2 linked regions of the Sus scrofa genome follow. Each later gene encodes a partner of the first gene's protein in a complex. Links are inferred from orthologs where the notes say so. Each region holds a gene or a part of one and is shown on either strand. Other genes may lie near its edges.

Region 1 (4,116 bases):
ATTTCCCCACCCCCACCCCCTAAAAGGGGCAGAGGTAGCACTCAAATCTGACCTCCTCACCCACTGAGCCTCCTAGCTTCTTGAGCTATAAAATCAAGTATGTTGTGGTCTCTGCACGTGGGTGGAAAAGTAATTTTCTAAATTTAAAGCAAGGTGTAGAAAAGACAAGTATATTGAAGCAAGAGACACTGTTAACACATCAGGTCGACTTCCTGATATTCAGGGAGAGCAGACCCTGGGGGCATGGTTGTGTCTGTTTTTATAGCCCAAAGACAAAGAAGCGGTCTTGCCATACACCTGAGGACCTAGTGATTGGTTGGAGAAGAATGAGGTCTTCTGATACACTTGCTGGTTGGTTGGGGAAAGACAGGGTCTTTGGATACACCTGCTGGTAGTTTGGGGCCATATGTTGCCCCTAAAGGGGTGGGGTAAGGAGTGGGCTACATACCTTTTCTAGTGGGGGGCAGGAAGGAGTAGGCCAGGTTGATCAAGGGGAAGAGGTGAGGAGTGGGCCACATACCTTTCCTAGTAGGGAGCAAGAAGTAGGCCAAGTTGCTGGGGTGGGGAGGTCCTTACGAACATTGTAACAGTTACAGTGAGACAGGTGGGATGATAAGGGTTTGGTAATTCTTATCTTGGCTGGAGGCTTTTTGAATTTTATTTCCTTGGAGAAACTTTGAAGTCCCACAAAGTAGGAAGGAGATGCCCCGTGTTGCTCTGTGCCCCTGCCCTCACCCCTCCCTGGGCACTTCTTCATCAACAGGTAGAATCATGTGGATTCCGCTCAGGACTCTGCTGTGCCCACAGCCCACATACTGTCCTCTCCAGGTGTTTAGGAAGCAGCTTAGATGCCAGGCATAAGCAGGGCAGTGGACACAGTCCCAGAGAGGGCACAGGCCTAGCCAGAGGCAACTGATCGCTCAGTGGGCGTGGCAGAGGTCAGCAGAACAGGAAGAGAAGGACATTAGCTGTCCCTGTTGCCTCTGCAGTCTCGGTATTTGCCAGCTGGGTGGGGCTGCCTGGGCAGACCTCAGCAGCTAAGTCCAGGGCTCAAGCTCCCTTTTTACTTTGTCCTTCTGCAGGCCCTAGCAGGGCTGGAACGCTCAGCATCTCATCCAGGGAACTGCAAAGAGCCAATCGTTCAATGAGGGTTGAGAAGTTAGGTCTCCAAGAACTACAATTCCCAGAACACACAGTGAACTACGGTCCAGCCCCAGCTGCCTGAGTGGCTGGCTTGTTCCTGGAACAAGGGAATCTCACCTGTCCTGGGAACTGAGCTTCCTGGCCTGGGCAAGTTGTGTTGGTATCTTTGTTTCTTGGACCTGCTCCTGCCTGAGAAATCCTGGTTACAAGCCAAACCTGGAGATGGTGAGATTACCCAGTTCTTTTACCTACACATATGTACGGAGACCCTGCTCTGTGCCAGTCTGGGGCTGGAGGTGGGGGTAGGGAGGCGGAGAACAGTCAGATGTAAGAAACTGAGGACAGAGGCTTGGGTTGGCTGGGTATCCCTTTGTAATCCAGCACATAGTATGTGCTCAATAAATATTCGCTGGTCAACCAACGAGCGAACAGGGCATCTTGCCCTTTCACCCTGCTTTGCTAGCTCCTACAGTACTGTACTCTCCTAAAGCGTGCTGTATCTTTCTGTCCGCCCTCTAAGTCTTTGCACGCGCTGTTCCTTCTACCAGGAGCACATTCTTTCAGCTTACTCATCAGTGTGTCTGTAGAGATAGGACAGAGACTGGCACGGACCAGGGGCACATTAAATATTTGATAAGTGGATGAATGAATGAATGCCCTTGTCCATTGTCCATCCAAGATGCAGGGACACTCGGGACCCTCCCTATTCATCTCAGTCTCCCGCCTGCCCGCTCGGAATGAATGCGTGTTTTTATCCACCCCGAGGATGGCCACGCAGGGGCAGGGGCAGGCCGGGCGGAGGACTGGATCTGAAGCTGCCCTTGGCTCCCTCCCGGATTTCCTAGCGGGTCCGTTTTCTGGACTTCGGCAGTTTTCATCCTCTCTGCGAAACTCAGTCTCGGTCTCCTGACTCCCAAGACTAGCCCCCAGCTTCTTACCAGCCACAGCACCCCACCCGGACACTCAGCGAACAGCACGTGGTCCAGGAGTCCCAGCTTTCCATTGGCCACTGGCCTCCTTCCTTCTCTGAGATTGGCCGGGGCCCAGCCGCAGCTCCCCCCTCCGCAGCCTTGCGGTGGTACAGCCCGCCGCGGCTTAGGAGGGGCGGGAAGATCCAATGCTCCGTGGCGCGGGGGAGGTGTCGTGAAGAGCCGGGCGAGGCTCAGGGATCCCTCTGGAATGTTTCCTTCGGTTCCACCCGGAGCGGGGGGCGTGGAGCCGATTGGCCGCGAACGCCGAGCGGCCGCTCCTGATTGGCCGGACGCGGGCACAGGCCCCGCCCCCTGGCTGTGCTGCTGGAGAGGCCCGGGCCAGAGTTTGCCGAGGGCCAAGCAGGGCGCGCGCTGGGAGGCGGCAATGCAGGTGAGTGTCCCCTGCGGGCGGTGCGCATCGCGGCGGCTCGAGGGACCCTAGCGCGGATCCGTGGGATCGCAGATCCACGGGGATCTGGCAGGTCCTACGAGGTAGGGCCGGCCCTATGGAACGAGGCTGGAGGTCTAGACTAAGCCAGGGGGTGCCGGAGGCCCCTCCCCAGCGGGCCGCCTGCCTTCCTGCCGGAGGAAGGAGTAAATGCCTCCCGCCGCCGGGATGGGCTCTCCAGCCGCATCCCACCTCCCTGCACTCTGGACAGTTCCCGTCCCAGAGGGGACAGGAGCGGGATCGGTATTTCTGAGCCCTGCCTGGGCAACTCTCCACAGCTGGCCTTTCTCAATCTTCCTGGGCCTAAGGAGGCTTGGGGAGGACCGAGGTCCCGATAAAAATAATGAAAATAAATAACCCGGCTAGCATTTATTGAGCACTTCCGTGTCAGCTATTTACCATGCCATATTTACCATTGAATCTAAACACCTCATGGAAGGTGCTGTTGCTTCTTTCGGAGCTGAAGCGGTAGACCCAGAGAGCTAGAGTGACTTGCCCAAGATCACACAGCTAGTGAGTGGCAAATCTGGGACTCAAACCCATGCCTTAGAGTCCAGAACAGGAGTCTCAACCACTAGACTAGATGCCCAGTGGTTCCAAGGCTCAGGTGTTTCTGACCAGCTCCTCCCACTCTACCCCCTCCAACCAGACATGCCATCTGGGCCACACCCGCTGGTCTTTGCTTTCACCAGCTGCTCAAACAGGAAGCTGCCCTCATGTCCCTTCTCCCCTAAACTGGAAAAGGCAAGGACAAAATATCAGGGTCTTGAGAAGAAAGTGACATCTGAAGGAGAGGTAGATGGGGGTGGGGGAGGCAGCACGGTGGGGTCCTGTGCCTGCTAGGCCCTCCTGGGAAGCCTGGGCCCAGGACAGTAGGCGTTCTCCCCGGAAACACCCAGGAGCCGGTTTTTCAAGACTGAATCAGAGGCCTCCCGGCTTCCTCTCCCAAGCAATACCCTGCTGAAAAGGGGAGCCTGGGTGTGGTGTTTCCCCACCACCCCCTACAGCTTGTATGAGCTCCCAGGAACCCCCTTCCCCACTTCCTGCTCCCCTCACTGCAACTCTGTATAACTATGGCTTGTTGAGTTTCATGCCCTTCCCAGAGAAAAGAGGGTGGGGATGCTGGGATTCCAGCGAATGTGCTCAATGCCCTGGGCTTAAACTCCTTTTCCTCTGTCCCTGTGTTAAGGTTTGAGGGGAGACTAGGAACATGGTGAGGAGGTGGCAGCTAGCAACTCTACAGTGGGCATGTTCTGGGGATAGAGGGGCTCCAGAGAAATCAGAATGAAGGGTTTAAGACACATTCATTCATTCTACACATATTTATTGAGCACCTACTATGTGCCAAGTACTGTTCCTGGCACAGAGGATATAATAGTGAACAAGACAAAAATCCATGCTTATGGGGAGTTGCCATTCGAAAGGGGGGAAAACAGGCAACAAACAGTTTAACAAGAAGATACTTGCAGAGGGTAATAAGTGCTTTGAATAAAATACAAGGGAGTGGCATGGTAGAATCTGTAGGCAAAGGGGGGGCTCTTGGAGGAGGCAACT
Region 2 (3,646 bases), on another chromosome or scaffold:
GATCCTTTTGGCAGAAGGTGAAAGGCCCTGGCTCCCAGGCCCCACCAGCCTCCTCTCTCCACAGAAAGACTTGCTGGACTCCTTCAGTTTCTTTCCAGAACATTCCCTCCTCCTTCCTCTGCTCCTGCTATAACCAAAGCCTGGACACCCTCCCCACTCAACCTTTACCTGCCTTTTTCCTCCTGAGCCCTCAGGTCTCACCTCTGGAAGCCACCTTGAACCCTCCAGCCAGGTCAGGAGCCGCAGCGTTGAGCGCTGCCGTATGGCATTTATTACTCTGTATTTTCATTTACTTCCACACCTGTCTCCTCGAAGACTGGGAGTCCCTCCAGGGCCAGACCCAGGTCTTATTTATCCCCTGAACCCAGAGCAGGGGCCCAAAGGCACCTAGGGAGGGTCTGAGGACTGAGAAAACAATCTTCTGAAACAAAGCTCCCGTCCCAGGCTTGCTCTGACCTCTGCAGGAAGCCAGGGCTCTTCTGAGCCTGGGTTCCCCATCTGGGCAAGGGCTCCTATGGCCCTGTCCTACCCACTCTGAGCCTCTTTCCTCATCCACACAACCCCTGGCAGAGTTGGCATGAGGGTAAAATGAAGTCAGACCTATTGGTGAAGCTGGGCCCGGTGGTGGCAGTGACATGGCTGCCCTACACACGGGTGCCTGTCCCAGTGGCCTTACCCGCAGGCAGCTGTACATGCAGATGGACATCCAGTTGGTCAGCATTTTCTCGACCACAGACTCTGTGCGCCGCAGCATGAGCTTGGGGTTCTTGGCAGCAGAGGCATCGATGAGGTCCACCAGCAGCTCCTTCATGATGCCCGTGTAGTACTCGAGCTTACCGTGCAGTGCGATGGTCAGCAGGGACGCCAGGCTGCACCTGCGGGCAGATGCAGGGGCATCTGCACCAGCCGCACCGGGAGGCCCTGGGATCTGAGGACCACATGGTGGGGTGGTCCACCTTGTCACTGGACACAGACAGGTAAGTGAGGCTGAAGTAAGGGCTACCTCTCCTAACACGCACCATGACCACTGTGACCACGAGTCCTGTCCTGGGCACCCAGGATCAGGAAGGGGAAGCACAGGGGGGCGTCTCAGGACATCTGGAGTCCTAGGACCCAGGGCCTGATGCTGGGGACATGACTGCTGCCCAGGGGACATGGGGATTTGCAAACCGCCCAGGCAGACCTAGGAGTGGTGCCCTGCCCCCTCCGCCAGGCCCTGCCCCTTCCCCGAAGCCTGAAGGCTGACCTGTCCCGCACTGCAAAGTCCTTCTGTTGCTCCAGCGCATGGACAAAGACGATGAGGAAGTGCTTGTTGTTGAGCAGCGAGGAGAATAGGCTGATGCCCTCTTCCATGTTGGGCCGGCAGCTCTCAGGGATCTGCAGGGGTGCGTGGTCCACAGGGGTCCCGTGTCACTGCCTGGCCTAGCTGTCAGCACTCATGATCCCCAGAATGGCTCTGTGAAGGCCTCCTGGGATGGGGAACTCATCACCTTTCACAGGTAAGTCACTGGGAATGATGGCTCAGTTGACTTCAAAAGTGGGGCTCAGCAGGGGTAAGGGTGCAGAAGGCAGCCCAGTGTCCCTGTGTGGGGGACCCTCTCACCTTCCATTCTCGAAGCAGCAGATGGAGGGGGACATCTAAGGGGACTCAATCCCACCCCCCACGACCTGGCCTAGAGGTCAGCACTCAGGTACCCTGAATGGCCACTTGAATACCTTCTGGGATGGAGAGCTCACTACCTCACAACAGCAGGTTCCTCCCCACTCCCCAGGATTAGGACCAATGGATCCAATGAGCTGGAAACTGGGGAAGCCCCATGTGTGCGTGCGGGGTTGGGGTACTCACCTTCCACTCTCCCAGCAGTGGGTGCGTCTCCGGCACCGTGGAGCTGCCCTGGGAGTTGAGGGTCTGGGATGGCAGCACATAACGCTCTTCATAGAGGGAGGAGCACTGTGGAGGCAGATGCCCAGCAGCTCAGCAGGGCTGCACGCTCCCATGACTCCTCCAGGGGCTGCTTAACACATGCAAGAGCCCAGTTTATAAAGAAGAGAGGCCGTGGGCCACGCTCAGGGGCCACAGGATGCCAGGGGAGGAAGAGGAGCAGAATCAGCACGAGGCAGTATGTGGCAAAGCTGGAGCATATGAGGCTCAAAAGGAAGCAAAGCAGCTCAGGGTAGAAGGAGGGAAACCGAGGCAGAAAGGGCTGCAGGGACACTACACGGGCTCTCTGGCTGCTGCGTGCAGAAGGGTGTCGACAGGGCCAGAGGAGGTGCTGGTTACAGGCCCAAATACCCTCAACAGGCCAGGGAAGGTGGGGGCAGGGCAGGGATGGGGCAGAGTCCAGAACACAGGAGGGGAGGCGGAGCCCCAGGGGCCCAGAGGTTAGAGGGTGTCAGTGAGCCGGGGCCTCTGTTCCTCTGCTCAGTAAGAGGCAGGCCCAGCTCTGCAGGGGGAAAGCGGGCTTGTGTACGGACAGTTAAACATCAAGGGAGCAGAGAAGGAAAGCGGGGAGAAACCGGGCCTGCTGGCCAGGCAGCGCAGCGCAGGCGCCCGCGGCTGGGCGGGTATGTTTTGCACTGCTCAGTGGCCCATGATGCACCTGCCAAATTCTCCCACAGGGGATGAAAGTGACCTCTGGGTTCTTGGGGCCCAGGGATGGGTTGAGGAGCCCCAGAGGGAACTGGCACAGGCGCAAACTGACCTTGGGGAAGAAGGTGCGGGTTACAAAGTGCTTGTACTCCAGGAAGGGGATGCCCTGGCTGCGGTTCAGCTCCTTGGTCAGGTCTGTCATGTCTGTCTGCAGCTCAGCGAAGCCTGGAGGACAGGCAGGTGGCCGTGAGTAGACCAGCAGAGGAAGCAGAGGCCCGAGGTCCCACGTGGTCCCTGCCTGCTACCTTTCCGGATCTCCTCTCGGATCTGGGACTCCATCTCTTCCATCTGCAGCAGCGTCTTCTGCCAGTAGCGCTCGGCACGGCGGCTCTTGGTGCAGAAGACGAACAGGGCTGTGGGCAGCGGAGGGATGGTCAGGCCCTGAGGGGCCTTGGGAGAGTGTGCGGTGGTGCCCAGCGTGTGTGGGGCCTGACCTGAAGGGAAGATCCTGCCTGCTGCTGTCCCCACCCCAGAGTGGGCTGAAAGCTACAGGCCAAGGGCTTGGGAAATGGCCAGGAATAGGAGGCTCCCATGTCCTATTCTTACAATAAAAAATGAGTGTGTGTTTAAGCCCCTGGTAAAAAGTAGATTTCCCAGGATGACAGAAGCACGGCTGCTTTCTGCTTTCTGTTCTCTTTCTGCTTCTGAGGATTTTCAATTCTTTCTACTCTGGCCAGGCCTCACTTGTGAATGAAGAACTTTTTAAAAGATGACAAAACAGTACTGTATTTTAATCCCTTTCTGGGATATAATATAGATGTATGTGTGTGTATGTATATATACATACATATACACACACACACATATATATAATGTATGTTTTCCCAGAGAGTTTTCTACCACACTTGTACCACTTTAATTCTTTTAATTCCTACCATCGGTGCAGGAGGCTGAGGTTCCTCTCTTCACTGAATACATTACTTTTATAACCATTACTTTAAGAGCAGCATAGCTGCCTAAGATGAAAGTGAACCTTCCCTGAACCGGCCTCTTCTA

Evidence for each region. Proteins that work in one complex are often made in the same cells at the same time.
Region 2: the proteins of GIPC1 (region 1) and PLXND1 are in contact, whole or in part, in a crystal structure (PDB 5V6T), measured with the Mus musculus proteins. The link is inferred for Sus scrofa from reciprocal best matches to the Homo sapiens genes GIPC1 and PLXND1. Residues at the interface, in NP_061241.1 of Mus musculus: His61, Glu141, Ala142, Leu143, Gly144, Leu145, Thr146, Ile147, Thr148, Asp149, Asn150, Gly151, Phe156, Lys158, Arg159, Arg190, His191, Tyr192, Glu193, Ala195, Arg196, Leu198, Lys199; in NP_080652.2 of Mus musculus: Glu1400, Met1889, Glu1893, Arg1899, Gln1902, Gln1904, His1905, Glu1908, Ile1918, Tyr1919, Cys1921, Tyr1922, Ser1923, Glu1924, Ala1925.

What each region holds. Positions count from the first base shown.
Region 1 is NC_010444.4:64,779,190-64,783,305, forward strand, and holds the start of GIPC1 (PDZ domain-containing protein GIPC1), read left to right. Parts: upstream 1-1,257; 5' UTR 1,258-1,368; intron 1,369-2,409; exon of another isoform or gene 2,410-2,505; intron 2,506-4,116. UniProt on the Homo sapiens protein: May be involved in G protein-linked signaling.
Region 2 is NC_010455.5:68,955,018-68,958,663, forward strand, and holds part of PLXND1 (plexin-D1), read right to left. Parts: intron 3,004-3,646; coding exon 2,896-3,003; intron 2,816-2,895; coding exon 2,703-2,815; intron 1,952-2,702; coding exon 1,847-1,951; intron 1,378-1,846; coding exon 1,247-1,377; intron 876-1,246; coding exon 677-875; intron 1-676. UniProt on the Homo sapiens protein: Cell surface receptor for SEMA4A and for class 3 semaphorins, such as SEMA3A, SEMA3C and SEMA3E. Plays an important role in cell-cell signaling, and in regulating the migration of a wide spectrum of cell types.